Linked DNA regions of Stegostoma tigrinum. The main gene of each other region encodes a partner of the protein of the gene in region 2 in a complex. Links are inferred from orthologs where the notes say so. Each region holds a gene or a part of one and is shown on either strand. Other genes may lie near its edges.

Region 1 (7,567 bases), on a different chromosome or scaffold from region 2:
AGCACTGACCCTCCAACAGTGCCCACTCCCTCAGCACTGACCCTCCGACAGTGCCCACTCCCTCAGTGCTGACCCTCCGACAGTGCAGCGCTCACACAGCACTGACTCTCCGACAGTGCCCGCTCCCTCAGTGCTGACCCTCCAACAGTGCCCACTCCCTCAGCACTGACCATCCGACAGTGTGGCACTCCCAGCACTGACCCTCCAACATTGCCCGGTCCCCCAGCACTGACCCTCCGACAGTGCGGCGCTCCCTCAGCACTGACCCTCCAACAGTGCAGCACTCCCTCAGTACTGACCCTCTGACAGCGCCCACTCCCTCAGCACTGACCCTCCGACAGTGCAGCACTCCCTCAGCGCTGAGCCTCCAAGATAAGGCTGAAGCTTTCACAGTGACCGTCAACCAGAAATGCTGATCGAATGATCCATTTTGGCCTTCTCCAGACATTCCCAGCAATGCAACTATCAGTCTTCAGCCAATTTGAAATGGTTGAGATGCTGGATACTGCAAAGGCTGGAACTGAGAGTCAATGTTGGTCAGTTAGCAGAGAGGGAATGGGTGAATGTGACTTGGCAACAAGTTTGGACAAAGAGGCAGTGCTGAATTTTACAGAGAATGGGATCTAGCCGGGGAACCTTACAATCACCTTGTCTAGATATAACAAGGAATGTGTGTTTCAGCAGGTCATGGGCAGAGGTTGGGTTTGATTTAAACAACGATAATATGAGTCAGCCTACACTTTTATAACGCTGTACGTTGAAGTGAGATGATGACATATAGAGTGTGTATTTAATCATCACATACCGCAACACATCATTTATTTTACAAATTTAAATGTATCAGATTATTAATTCTCTCACATAACAACAGACTGGCTGCAAACATATCAACAGTTACATAATTTTCAAAAATGTATTAACAAAGGGCATTTTTTCACACAGTTTAGTTCAGGTGTTAATGTTTATTTATTGCTAAGTCATTGTATTTGTTAAACAGTAATTTTTTCATTGAGTACAAGTGGCAGATGTTCAGAAACGTGAAACAAAAGAAAGGGATGGAGCACCCCAGCAGATCAATCAATGTGTTGCCGACTGAGTGCACATTTCAACAGGACAGCTGTCCACCTCTGATAACAAAACTCAAAAGTGTATCAAGCAGCAGGAGGGTCAGTAACCAGGGGGCGATGGGGACAGTGGGAGGCAATGGCCTAGTGGTATTGTCACTGGTCTGTTAATCCAGAGACCCAGATAAGGTCCTGAACACCAGGATTCGAATCCCACCATAGCAGATAGTAGAATTTGAATTCAATAAAAAATCTGTAATTGAGAGTCGAATGGTGACTGTGAATTCACTGCTGATTGTTGGGGAATAAAACCTATCTGGTTCATAAATGCCCTCTAGGGAAGGAAACTGCCATCCTTACCTGGTCTGGCCTCCATGTAACTGCAGACACACAGCAATGTGGTCCTCTGGTGTGTGGGTAATAAATGCCGGCCTGAGAAGTTAAACTCTCATCCTGTTAATGAACAAAAACAAAGGGAACTGTCATATGTTCATTCCCAAGGTGGCCAGCTGCTAGGGGCAGTGGGGAAATGTCATCTCACAGAGCTCATTGTCGTAATCTAGAGTGTGTTGTGTGAAAGAGGACGGACCAGATTCAATATTAACTTTCAAAAGGGTATTGGATACACCATTGAAAGTAAAAACCTGCCAGGCATTGGGGAAGAAGTGGACAGGGTACTCATTCAATTTTAAAATTCTTATTCTTGTTTGCAGTCTGTCTGTGATATTACCCTGTTTCAATCGTCCAACCACCAGCAGCTGCCTGGGCCCTGAGCTCTCAACTTCTTTCTCTAACCCTCTCCACCCTCTACCTCTCTATCCACTTTCAAAACACTCCTTCAACTTAACCTCTCTGACTGAGCTTGGGTCACCTGTCCTAATATCACCCCTTGTGACACAGGGTCAGGTTTTGCTTGTTGATTCTTCCTCCGATGGTCCTTGAGATGGATTAGTAGGGATGCAGTCACAGATGTTAAAGGTGCCATATAAATGAAGATTGTTGCTGTTGTTCTCAGTCATACAGAAATCTACACACATCCTCATGTTACAAGAATTGCAAGGAGTGTCTACCACCTTGTTGTAAACATTCAGCTACATACCCGATGGATCCCACACCATTACACAACTATTCAGAGCTCGAGGGGTAAGTGTGGGTTTTATTGAGGACCAGGTTAGTACGGTGCCTGCTGTATTCTTCCGTGAGGAGGTTATTGAGGCTAGAGGAGGTGGACTTGCAGACAGTTCAATTCCGCATCTCCTGATTTGTCGTCTCCTGTGGACAAATGTTTAAGGAGTTTGATGGATGGTTGTTTCTTGTGAGTGGTATCAGATCATTCCAGGCTCTGTGGGAGGCAGGAATAACATTACCAAAGTGGCAGTGTGTCCTGGTGTTGTACACTCAGACCTTGGGGGGATGGTATCCCGTGTCCTTGAGCCATCATTGGTCTGCATGCTCTTACCCAGAGGCTTGGAGAAAGGGCATGAACTACAACAAGCTTCTCACTGAGTGTGTGCTGATACTCAGCTGGAACAGAGCGGGGCCTCTGCTGGTCTTCAGATGGGCTAAAGTGGGGTCTCTACTGGTGCTCAGCTGGGACGCAGCAGGGTCTGTGCTGGTGCTGCCAGCTGGGACAGAGCGGGATCAGTGCTGGTGCTGCCAGCTGGGACAGAGCGGGGTCTGTGTTGGTGCTGGGACAGAGCGGGGTCTGTGTTGGTGCTAGGACAGAGCGGGGTTCTGTGTTGGTGCTGCCAGCGGGGACAGAGCGGGGTTTCTGCTGGTGCTGCCAGCTGGGACAGAGCGGGTTCTGTGCTGGCGCTGCCAGCTGGGACAGAGTTGGATCTGTGTTGGTGCTGCCAGCTGGGACAGAGCGGGGTTTCTGCTGGTGCTGCCAGCTGGGACAGAGCAAGGTCTGTGTTGGTGCTGCCAGCTGGGACAGAGCGGGGTTTCTGCTGGTGCTGCCAGCTGGGACAGAGCGGATTCTGTGTTGGTGCTGCCAGCTGCTGCTGGCTGTAGATGAAGAAGCACGTGTCCCAGCAGTGATAACCTCACTGTACAATCCAGGATGTGTTTTATATGTATATAGAAACACAATCTCAGAGCTTTAATGAATAATTCAATCAGCTCTGACCATCAGGTTGTGCCCGAACTGACAGCCTTCCTTCATTGTTCATTCTAGAAATAAAACGTTTCGGTAAACTGTATCAGGAACAAACAGGAAGCAATTTCTTGGCTGACTGGTTCACCTGTCTCCATGGTAACCATAATCTTATTTCCCCAAGTGATGGAAAACAAAGACATTGCATTGATCCAAGAACCCACGACAACAGAAAAGGAAACTTTCCAAAGGGAGATTGTGAAAAGTCAAACTGGGACAAACGTGAGTTTTCAGTTATCGCGAAGGTACCAGCTATTCCCACTGGATAAATAGGAGGCCCCTAATAAACTGAAATTCCAGGATCCTAACTCCAGAATAACCGAAGGCACAAAAACTTGTCACACCACTGCTCCAACCAAACAGAGCGGATTTAGACCATGCTCCAGTACACTCACAGGGAACTGTTATCCATGATCTATCAGCGAGTATGAGACCATCCGACACAGAATAGCTAAGCCTGAGAGAATGGTGGCCGGCACTGTTAATCAGAGACAAAGTGAAGAGGATGCAGCGAGTGAAAACTGGACATCAGTAAGGAGTGCCAGATTCCATCATTGAGATGGCCAATGATTGTGAAGAGTGGGAATTCTCTCCAGTGAAGAAAAGGATGAGACTGGCTGCCTTTCCTGATGGCAAAGGAGATGTGTTGTACTGGTTCAAGCACAGAACGATCCCACCTTTGACCCAATCTGAGTCACAAGGAGTTCACCCACACCGATGGAGAACTGCACCCATTCAAAATAAGCTGTAGCATTGCCTTCTCTGCAATTAGCAAGGACGGAGCGGGTTCGAGGTTCATCCCAAACAGCTCCATGATGCAGGGCTCTGTGCTCTGCAGAATGTTCCCCAGGATACACACCGAGAGAAACTTTGACTGTGCCTGTAGGACCATCAACTTTTTGATCCGCCCAAAACTTGTTGGTCTTCCAGAGCAAGGAGTTGACCTTAACCGAGTGTTGCAGACTGGCACATTCCATTGTACAGGAATACCTGCTGAGGGATGCACTAAAGCTTGGGGCAACTGCTGCCAAGGGGCATTGGGGAAAGACCACTGTCTGAGGTCTTTCTGCTGAAGTTAAAGGGGGTCTGTTCAGTTATCAGTCCCTCCTGGCACCTCCAATATAAATAAATTTGGTCCTCTACAAATACAGGATTTGGTCTGACCGCTGGATAGAGTTAAACTTCAATGTTTGTTTGTTTCTTCATATGCTACTGTATAGAACCGAACTGCCTTAGTGGCCATGTATGTATATAATGATATTTTCATGAATAAAGTATATTTTTGACATTAAAAAAAGGTTTTGTGGGGAAGAAGCTGCAGGTTAAAACTGCAGCGACAAATGGTCAGCTACAAAGCTATCCTCCCAAGGCCTGAACAAGGATATATCAGAAAACACTTTCCCAGGTGAATGAAATGGGACTGTTAAACCTCCTGCTGTCAAGTGACACTTTGCTGTTTAAAGTTGAAATGGGTAACAGTGCAAGCTGAAGTGATGAACATGACACTGCTGTTCTCTGCAGCACTGAAAGGCTGCCGTTTCTTGTTCCAGCCCAAGAAGTCACTTCGCTTCACAAATGTTCAAGACACATAGGGTAAGGTGAACAAATTCAATCTGGATGATGTCCAGCATTTCTGAGGCACACGTTGGAAAATTTTACTGAAATGTAGCAATGAAAAGGAGAGGAAAGTTATAGTCAAGATAGACACTGCCCCAGTGCAGCAACGCACCCCCCCCCAACATCACACACCTGAAGAGTCTTCTTCTCATGTTCAACGTTCTCAATGCCCCAGAAAAGCTCCAGCCAATGGACAAGGGGTAATGAGGGCAACTGTCAATGGCAGCTGATCTCTCAGGATGTTGATGTCATCAGTAAGAGCAGGGAAGATGGAAGAGCCCAGCAACACATAAGGCTGAAGTATTTGCAATAATCTTCAGCCAGAACTGCCTCCTCCAGTGGTCCCCAGCACCACAGGTACCAGTCTTCAGCCAATTTGATTCACTCCACATGATATCAAGAAACGGTTGGAGACACTGGATACTGCAAAGCCTGTGGGCCCTGACAACATTCTGGCAACAGTACTGAAGGCTTGTGCTCCAGAACTTGACACTCCCCGAGCCAAGCTGTTCTGGTACAGTTACAACATCAGCATCAACCCGACAATGTGGAAAATTGCCCAAGTATGTCCTCACCTCAAAAAACAAGACAAATCCAACCCGACCAATTCCCGGCCCATCAGTCGCCTCTCGATCATCAGTAAAGTGATGGAAGGTGTCAGTAACAGAGCTATCAAGCAGCACCAGCTCAGAAATAACCTGCTCAATGATGCCCAGTTTAGGTTCTGCCAGGGCCACTCAGCTCCTGATCTCATTACAGCCTTGGTTCAAAGATGGGCAAAAGAGCTGAATTCCATAGGTGAGGTGAGAGTGACAACCATGAAATCAAGGCTGCATTTGACCAAGTGGGCATTAAGGAGCCCGAGCAAAACTGGATTCAATGGGTATCAGGGGAAAATTCTCCAGCGGTTAGAGTCATACCTAACACACAAGAAGATGGTTGTGGTTATTGGAGGTCAGTCATCTCAGCTCCAGGACATTTCTGAATAAGTTCCTCAGGATAGTTCTGGATGTAAGTTTGCTCACTGAGCTGGAAGGTTAGTTTTCAGACGTTTTGTCACCATTCTAGGTAACATCATCAGTGAGCCTCCGACGAAGCGCTGGTGTTATGTCCCACTTTCTATTTATCTGTTTAGGTTTCCTTCCTCAGGATAGTGTCCTAGGCCCAACCATCTTCACCTGCTCCATCAATGACCTTCCCTCCATCATAAGGTCAGAAGTGGGGATGTTCGCCGATGATTGCACAATGTTCAGCACCATTCGTGACTCCTCGGATACTGAAGCAGTTCCAGTTCAAATGCAACAAGATCTGGACAATAGCCAAGTTTGGTCTGAAAAGTGGTAAACAACATTCGTAGTACACAAATGCCAGGTAATGACTGTCTCTAATAAGAAACAATCTAGCCACCACCCATTAACACTGAATGGTGTTATCATCACTGAATCACCCACTATCAGCATCCTGGGGGTTAGCATTGACCACATCCCTAACCCCATCTCTTGCCTTTATTGGTCAGTGCATTGACTATAGGAGTTGGGAGGTCATGTTGCAACTGTACAGGACATTGGCCAGGGCACTTTTGGAATACTGCATTCAGTTATGGTCTCCCTCCTATAGGAAAGATGTTGACAGGGTGCAGAAGGGTTGGAGGGTTTGAGTTACAGGGAGAGGCTGAATAGGCTGGGGCTATTTTCCCTGGAGCGTCGGAGGCTGAGGGGGGGACCCTCTGGAGGTTTATAAAATCATGAGGGGCATGGATAGGGATAGCCAAGGCCTTTTCCCCAGGGTTAAGGTGTTCAAAACTAGAGAGCATAGGTTTAAGGTGAGAGGGGAAAGATTTAAAAGGGACCTAAAGGGAAATGTTTTCACACAGAAGGTGGTGCGTGTATGGACTGAGCTGCCGGAGGAAGTGGTGGAGGCTGGTACAATTACAACATTGAAAAAGCATCTGGATGGGTACATGAATAGAAAGGGTTTACAGGGACTTGGACCAAGTGCTGGCAAATGGGACTAGATTAATTTAGGAAGTCTGGTTGGTATGGACGCGTTGGAAAGAAGGGTCTATTTCTGCAATGTCCATCTTTATGACTCTATAAACTGAACTGGACTAACCAGATAAATGTAGTAGCTATAAGAGCAGGTCCATGAATTCTGCAGTGAATAACTCACCAGACTCCCCAAAGCCTGCTCACCAGCTACGAGGCACTAATCAGGAGTGTGATGCAATACTCCCCATTTGCCTGGATGGGTGCAGCTCTAACACTCAAGAAGTTCGACACCATCCAGGGTGAAGCAGCCCCCTCTTGATTGGCACCACATCCACAAGCATTCACTCCATCCACCACCAACACTCAGTAGCAGCAGTGTGTACCATCTACAAGGTGCACTGCAGAAACTCACCAAAGATCCTTACTCAGACAACACCTTCCAATTCCACAGTCTCTTCCTTGAAGGACAAGAGCAGCAGATACATGGGAACACCGCCCCCTGCAAGGTCCCCTCCAAACCACACACCATCTGACTTGGAAATACATCACCGTTCCTTCACTGTCACTGGGTCAGAATCCAGGAACTCCTTCTCTAAGGGCATTGTGAGGCTAACTACAGCACATATACAGCAGTGGTTCAGGAAGGCAGCTCATCACCACTTTCCCAGAAGCAACTGGGGACAGGTGATAAGTGCTGGCCTAGCCAGTGATGCTCACGTTCCACGAATGGAAATTTAACCCCT
Region 2 (7,912 bases):
CCACCGGGCAGAAGATTCAAAAGTTTGAAAACCTGTACTGATAGATTGACGAACAGCTCTTTCCCCACTGTTATCAGACTAATGATCAGACCTCTTATGCATTAGAGTTGATCTTTCTCTGCACCTTCTCTGTAGCTGTCACATTGTATTCTGCATTGTTATACTTTAAAGAAGGTTTGATTTGTCTGGTTAGTACAGAAAATAAATACTTTTCACTATATCTCAGTACATGTGACAATAATAAATCAAATCAAATTAAATCTTTCTTAATACATTTTATTCATCAATTGTGATTGGTCACCTTCATTTTTCCCACAGAATTGAAATATTTTGTGGGCATAAAAAAAATCCAATCTAAGAAGAAAGACAGGAGATGTTTCGACAATATTTCCATTCTGGCCATGTTTGTCCCTTAGTCAATATCACTCTCCCAGATAATTTGGTTATTATCATATTGCTGTTAGTGGGATCTTGCTGTGTGTGAAATGGCCTCTGCATTTCCAACAACAGTGACTATATTTCAACAGCATTTAACTGGCTTAAACACTTTGAGATGTATAGTATTTGTGAAACCTACTCTATCAATGGGGAGTTGATAAAACCACAAAAGCACCTATGCATATTATTGCATCCTCACTCCCCTCATCATCTGTACCCAGCCACTCCATGGAAGCAACTGATCCCATCAGCAGTCTTAATTCCACGGTAAAATTGAAAGGCCCACTTATGGAATCCCAGTTTTTCTGGAAAGACTATTCTCTGGTGAACAACTCTGGTTTTATGCTCACAGGACAAGTTCACTGAATCTTACAACTTAATGTTGTGGGTCTGTCAGCCAACAAGTCTCATTAGATGTCATTCCACCCAAAACCCCTTTTAACATCATTTGCCTAGAACTGACCCATACTGGAGCTGAGGAAGGAGTTTTTTTTATTACAGCAATGATTTTAACCTACATTACTACTCCCCTTATGCTAAATACAGTTGTACCAGAAGACCATAAGACGTAGAAGCACAATTCGGCTATTGGGTCAATAGAATCTGTTCCACCGTTCGGTTATTCCTGATAGCTTTCTCAAACCTATTGTCCTGTCTTCTCCCTGCTACTCTTGATCCCCTCCCTTTTCAATCAAGAACCAGTCTACTCCCTCTTAAAGACACACAATGATTTGGCTTCCACAGCTGTCTGTGGCCGTGCGTTCCACAGAATAACCACCCTCTGACTGAAGAAGTTCCTCCTCATCTCAATTATAAAGAGTAGTCCCTTCACTCTAAGACTGTCCTACTAGTGGAAACAACTTCTCTACTTTCACTCTATCAGGCCTCTCAGTATTCTGTAAGTTTCAAGATTCCCTCCCCCATCCTCCTAAAAGCTATTCAACATTGCCAATGAAGCCCGTCTTGACATCACCCAAGTTCTGGTATACAATTCAGGTTGGCAGTTTTTATCCTGCAAAAATGTCAAAGTTTGTCTCCAAGTGTAAACATCTCCAAGTGCCAGCTGGGAACAGCAAGTTCTGCTAATACTGCCAGCTTTGTGGGAGATTTCAACAGCCATTGCAGTGTTTAGGATTACTCAGTGTCAGACGGTGATGGTAAGCAGCTCCCACAGTACACCTCCAGAAACAATCTTATCCTGATACATCACCTGAAACAACAGGGAATGTTCTATTCAGCCGGACGCAGTTATAACTACTCACCTGACTGGGTGGTGGCTCTGATCATTTAATGGATTTCCTCACCAGCAGAGTGTCCAGTTCTGGACAACTCCCCACAGAGTCAACACAGGGGACCACTCATACACAATGTTCGCTATCTTCCACTTCTCTACCATTGCATGGAAGATTTGATAGTTCTTCTGTAAAGCAGATTGGTGAATATACAGTGGGGCTTTGGGCAGCACAATGACTCAGCAGCTAGCACCTCTGCCTCACAGCGTCAAGGACCTGGGTCTCATTCCAGCCTGGGGTGACTGTCCTTTTGGAGTTTGTACATTCTCCCTGTGTCTGTGTGGGTTTCCTCCCACAGTCCAAAGATGTGCAGGTTAGGTTGTCTGGCCATGCTAAATTGCTCTGTAGTTTCCAGAGATGTGTAGGCTAGATGCAGCAGCCATAGTAAATATGGAGTTAGAGGGACTGGGTGAGGGACTGGGTCTCGGTGGGATGCTCTTCAGACGGCAGTTGCAGACTCAGTGGACTGAATGACCTCTTCCCGCACTGTGGACATTCTATGATATCATTGTTATCATTTATCATATATGTTATTTAAAACTATGCATAAGATGCCTATGGGAGAATTAAATAAGGAGTTTTGTGGTGCCTTTCACAAAGCTGCTTGTATCAGCCTACCTTTATCCCATGTCTTGATAAGAGAATTCAGTGCCCCTAAAGCAATGTGAATCACTTGGTGACCCTGATAAACAGACCAAGACAGGGTCCCTTGATACTGCGCATCACCCCAGAAAGGAGGGAATGATAGGAGGGTTCACTTTCACTCAGTGCAGTCCCAAGTGCTGGAACCTCATTGGGTACCTTGGAGCAGCCATAAAGTAACCCGCACCAACTTGACTATCAATCACCCTGAACCATGTTGCTAGATACCTACTCCATGTAGCAAGGACTCTGTTGGAAGCTGAACAAGACACTAATCTGCAAAGAATTGGAAAAAAACAATGCCAACAAAATGCAGAGCATGGCTGTCCTGACCCCTTCACGATCACAGAACTTGCAAAGTAAAACAGTGAGATATGACAACTTTGCACCAAAATTTTTAAGACTTATGTCCACTGTGCTAATGCTTGATTTACTTAGCTCTCCACAAGAATCAAACTTATTCAAAAAGGTGCAACAATGAAAAAGTCATTCCAAAATATAGAAAAGATCTCAGCTATTAACTGATTTTGCTACATTTTTGCATGTTTTCGATCAATGAGTATCTTGTCCTCTGATGCATGTCTCCAGAAGGATAGACCATCCTGGATGTCAACCAAGCTGGTTTCCATAAGTGGCACAGCACATGTGATCAGCTTCTGACACCCACCAGATACAACAGTTCCAAAAGACCATGAAGACAGGTACACTGCTACTAGACCTTACAGCTGCCAAAGTCACAGAGTGGACTGCTCCTTAAACCATCCAGAGTTCTTCTAACCTGGTCAGGACCATTGTTAAAACACTCCTTCACAAGAGGCAATTTGGAGTGAGGAGGTAGTAGTGTTTTGGTAATGTCACTGGACTAGTAATTCAGTAATCCAGATTCTAATGCTCTGGGGACCCAGTCAAGGCTAGAATGTAGGAGCAGGGATGTTGAACTGCTGAGGCTGAATAAGGCTCTGGCCAGACCACATTCGGAATGTTGTGAGCAGTTTTGGGCCCCATAACTTAGGAAAATATGATGGTCTTGGAGGGGTTCCAGAGGAGGTTTGCAAGAATGATCCCAGGGATTAACAGCTTGTAAAATGAGGAGCAGTTCAGGAATCTGGTCTGTGCTTAGTGGAGTTTAGAAGGATTGGAGGGTTCTAATTGAAACTTACAGAACACAGGCCTGGATAGAGTATATGTGGAGAAGATGTTTGCACTATTAGGAGAGGCCAGGACATGAGGCACAGCCTCAGGGTGAAGGAATGACCCTTTCAATTCTGTGCAACTCATTACTGTGGAGGCCAAGTCATTGTACCTATGGTATTGAGGAACATATCGGCCATGGCTGAATGGTGGAGCAGATACAATGGGCCAATTGGCCTGATTCTGCTTCCATATTTTACGGTCTTATGTATTTGAATATGAACATGGTGAAATTTAAATTCAGTAAAAAGATTGTGATTAAAAGCTAACCTGATTGTGACATATAAGCACAATTGATTGTTATACAAACCCAGCTGCTTCACTAATGTAAAATAGAAAAAGAAATCTGCCATCATTACCTGGCCTGGCCTACATGCACTCCAAACTAACACAAATAATATGACTCCTAACTAATTTTTAAAGCATCTAGCTAGCTTTTAAGTTCCATGGCAATTAGAACAGAGAATATAGAACACTACAGCGCAATACAGGCCTTTGGCCCTCGATGTTGCGCAGACCTGTGAAACTAAACTGAAGCCCATATAACCTACACTATTCCATTCCATTAGGATTGGGCAATAAATGCTGGCCTAGCTAGCAATGCCCACTTCCTATGAACGAATGAAAAAAAATCACCTTGGACAAGGGAGAAATGCATGGAGACATCTGGCCAATGGATACCGCATGGCTCAGTGTTAATCTAATCCTTTTCATACAACCTATCAACAACCGCATCTTGCAAGTTCAACGATGCTGTAACTTCTGTTGTGCCATCAAAGTCTATCCTCTGCATCCTGGATCAGATTCTTAACAAAGATACCACTCTATCAAAGTCTTTCTCAATTTTAATTTTCTTGCATTTTCATATATTCAATTTTCCTGTCCAGCCCAGACCATGCCACAGCACCAAGAACACACAATTGCAAAGATTATGTTTCGCTTTAGTAAGAATAGGGGCTGTCTTTGGTTGGGATGTTTGAAAACGTAACCATGCATCATTCCGCCTGATTGAGAGAAAATAATGAAGCAGGAAGGGGGAAAGGAGGCAGCTGTTCCCCCTCCCACCCAAAGGAATAAGAAATAATATAAAATAAAACAAAGAACTGCGGATCTTAAGCATAACCTGCTGGAGCCTCTCAGCAGATCTGTGGGGGAGGAAACAGGATTAACATTGCGGGTTCAATGAAAGAGTGAAAGATGACAGTGAGTTGTATTCAGAGAAATTGAAAGTGCCTGGGGAATGTTGCAATGAGCCTAGCCCAGTCAGGTTGATACAGCTGGTGACAGGTGACTGGGCGTTGACCTTTTGTGGGGGAAGGAGACCCGGAAGTAGTTACTGGTTGACAAGGAGCCGAATCAAAGATGGCGCTGCGACCAGGCGGTGGCGGCGGTGGTAGCAGCAGCAATGGCACTGGCGGTAACGGCAGTGGGTAAGTGTAGAAACATCGACTTTCCTCGTTTCTTTATTGGTATAATTATTATAAATGGTGAACGAAATCAGGAGATGATTTATGAATGGCTGGGCGGCCGGCTCGATTCATCGCGGAGCCGGTGGCCGCCTCTCTGCCTTTAAGATGATGCTGAGCAAATGGGGTTAGTCTGGGTCAGTGAGCAAGAGCCCGTTTCCCTCCCTCCCTCTGCCTTCACGCACACACACTTTAATATTTACCATCTGATAGCCTAGATACCACCGGACAACTCTTACTTCTGATTATCTGATCTTTTAAATTATATTTCCATTGAGTCGATTGTTTCCTTTATAAATGGGTAAAGGCTGATCTCCGCACGATTTTATTTTACGTTTTAAACTTTCTTCTCTCTCTTACCCCTCCCCTTCCACTTTAATTTTGTGTTGATCCGTTTTATTTTTCTAAAAGTAAACCTTAGGTGGATTGTTGCCGAATGGAAGTACACGCAGATACCCCTTTCCCCTTATTTTGAGCCTGTGAAGTTCTGCTGTCTGAATTGAACGGGAAGCTGCACACTGAATAATTCATGTTCCCTGAAGGAGATCGTGCTTCATGTATCTTTCATCTCACCCTATCACCTTTCATCTGACCCAGCTAAATTAGGTGGACGTTTCTTGATCGAATTCGATCTTCAAAAAAAAATTGAATTGTAATTCCCTCTTTCTGTATCTCGTGTGTTGTCGGGCAATAAAAGTATTCATAAACTCCCTTAATGTAGCTGCAATGATCTTTGCAGTTTGCAGTATGCCAGTAAAAAGGCAAGGGGGTAAATGAGCTTTGATATTATTTCACTTCCCAGTGAGTGTGTGTATGTGTAGGAAAAGAATAATTATACTACTTGTACTCAGCAGATTTGGGTGTACCTTACTTTTAATTTTAGGCACACCTGGAATGGAAAAAGTTGACTTTGTGGGCCTTTTGGTCTCTGCCATGTATTCTGTTTTGTTGCATTGGTTGGTATTAAAAATTAACATTACAAGAATTTGCAAGTTGTGATACTTTGAAGGCTGTTTAAAGTTGCTGACCTTTTTACATGTGTGCAATAGTGGCAAACTATTTAGCACAGTACTTATGGCTTTGAATAATTACCCCACTCCCCACTATCTCCAGAAAAAAAGACTGCTGAGTAACTGCAGTAGATTCCAAAGTTGACCAAATAATCTTGTGATGATTGAATACTTGATTTTGTCCTTACTCTCCCCTCTGCAGGCATGTTATGATTCGATCTGTAATTTGTGTTACTTGTCAATCAAGTAGATGAATTTTACTATCTTAACTTTGACGCATAACGAAAGTTGACAAGTACTTGATTGAGGGTTGCTAAAAAAATTTTTCACTTCCTCAATATATTTAATGTTTTAAGAATTCCTGTTAAATGTGACTGTTATTTAAAATGCAGGACTGGCAGCTTAATGTTCCAGGGTATAGATGCTATACGAAGGATAGAAAGGTGGGCAAGAGAGAAGGGGGTTAGCGTTGTTCGTTAAAGAACATTGCATTTGACCTAGGGAGGATATTCCTGGGAGAATGTCCAGTGATCTTATATAAGTAGAACTGAGAAATCAAGGGATGATCACCTATTTGGGATTGTACTGTAGGATCCCAAATAGTCAGTGGGAAACTGAGAAGCAAACATGTAAGGGGATCTCAGATATCTGTAAGAATAATAGGCTTGTAATGATAGGGGATTTTAACTTTCCAAACATTGACCGGGGCTGTTGTTAAGGGCTTGAATGGAGAGGAATTTAAGTGTATACAAGAAAACTGTATTACTCGATATGTAGATGTACCTATTACAGAAGGAGCAAAACTTGACCATCTCTTGGGAAATAAGATAGGGCAAGTGACTGAGATATCAGTGACAGATCACCTAGGGGCCATTGATCATAATTTTATTCATTTTAAAATAGTTGTGACAAAAGATAGAACTGATCTAAAAGTTAATGTTCTAAATTGGAGTAAGGCCAATTTTGATAGTATTGAGTAGGACCTTTCAAAAGTTGACTGGGGAAAGCTGTTTATCGGCAAAAGGTATGGTTGGAAAATGGGACACCTTCAAAAATGAGACCACGCGAGCTCAGAGACAGTATGCTCCTGTTAGTGCGAAAGGCAAGGCTGGTAGGTGTAGGTAATGCTGGATGACTGGAGAAATTCAGGGTTTATTCAAGAAAAAGAAGGAGGCATATGTCAGATGTACTTATCTGAGATCAAGTGAATACCTAGATGAGAATAAAGGCTGTAGAACTATATTTAAGCGTGAAATCGAGAAGCCAAAAGGGGGACATGAGATAGCGTTGGCATGCAAGGTTAAGGAGAATCCAAAGATTTTACATATGCATTAAGGAGAAAAAGTGACTAGGAAGACAAAGGTGATCCTTAAAGATCAACAAGGCTGTCTGTGTGGAGCTGAAGGATATGGGTGAAAAGCTAAATGAATATTTCATTTCAGTATTTACTGTGAAGAAGGACATGGAAACTAGAGAACTTAGAAATAAGTAGTGATATCATGAAAAGTGTCCATATTACAGAAGAGGAGATCTGAAAGATCAGCATAAAGATAAATCAATCCCTGGGACCTGATCACGTGTGCCCCAGAACTTCATGGGAAGCGAGGGTAGAGATTGCTGGGCCCGAACTGAGAGACTTATATCATTGACGGCTATGGGTGAGGTGCCAGAAGACTGCAGGCTGGTCAATGTGTCATTATTTAAGAAAGGTGGTAAAGAAAAGCCAGGAAACTATAGACAAGTGAGCTTGATGTCAGTGGTTGGTAAATAAATGGAGTGAATTCTGAGGGACAGAATTTACATGCATTTTGAAAGGCAAAGACTGTTTAGGACTAATCAACGTGGCTTTGTGTGTGGGAAGTTGTGTCTCACT

The links. The genes of interacting proteins can lie anywhere in the genome.
Region 1: synrg (region 2) and aftiphilin-like share a complex: the UniProt entries of both Homo sapiens proteins name them as parts of the aftiphilin/p200/gamma-synergin complex. The link is inferred for Stegostoma tigrinum from reciprocal best matches to the Homo sapiens genes SYNRG and AFTPH.

The regions. Positions count from the first base shown.
Region 1 is NC_081362.1:1,991,193-1,998,759, reverse strand, and holds the start of aftiphilin-like, read right to left. Parts: upstream 3,008-7,567; 5' UTR 1,425-3,007; intron 1-1,424. UniProt on the Homo sapiens protein: Component of clathrin-coated vesicles.
Region 2 is NC_081380.1:33,746,577-33,754,488, reverse strand, and holds the start of synrg (synergin gamma), read left to right. Parts: upstream 1-4,899; 5' UTR 4,900-4,925; coding exon 4,926-4,993; intron 4,994-7,912. UniProt on the Homo sapiens protein: Plays a role in endocytosis and/or membrane trafficking at the trans-Golgi network (TGN). May act by linking the adapter protein complex AP-1 to other proteins. Component of clathrin-coated vesicles.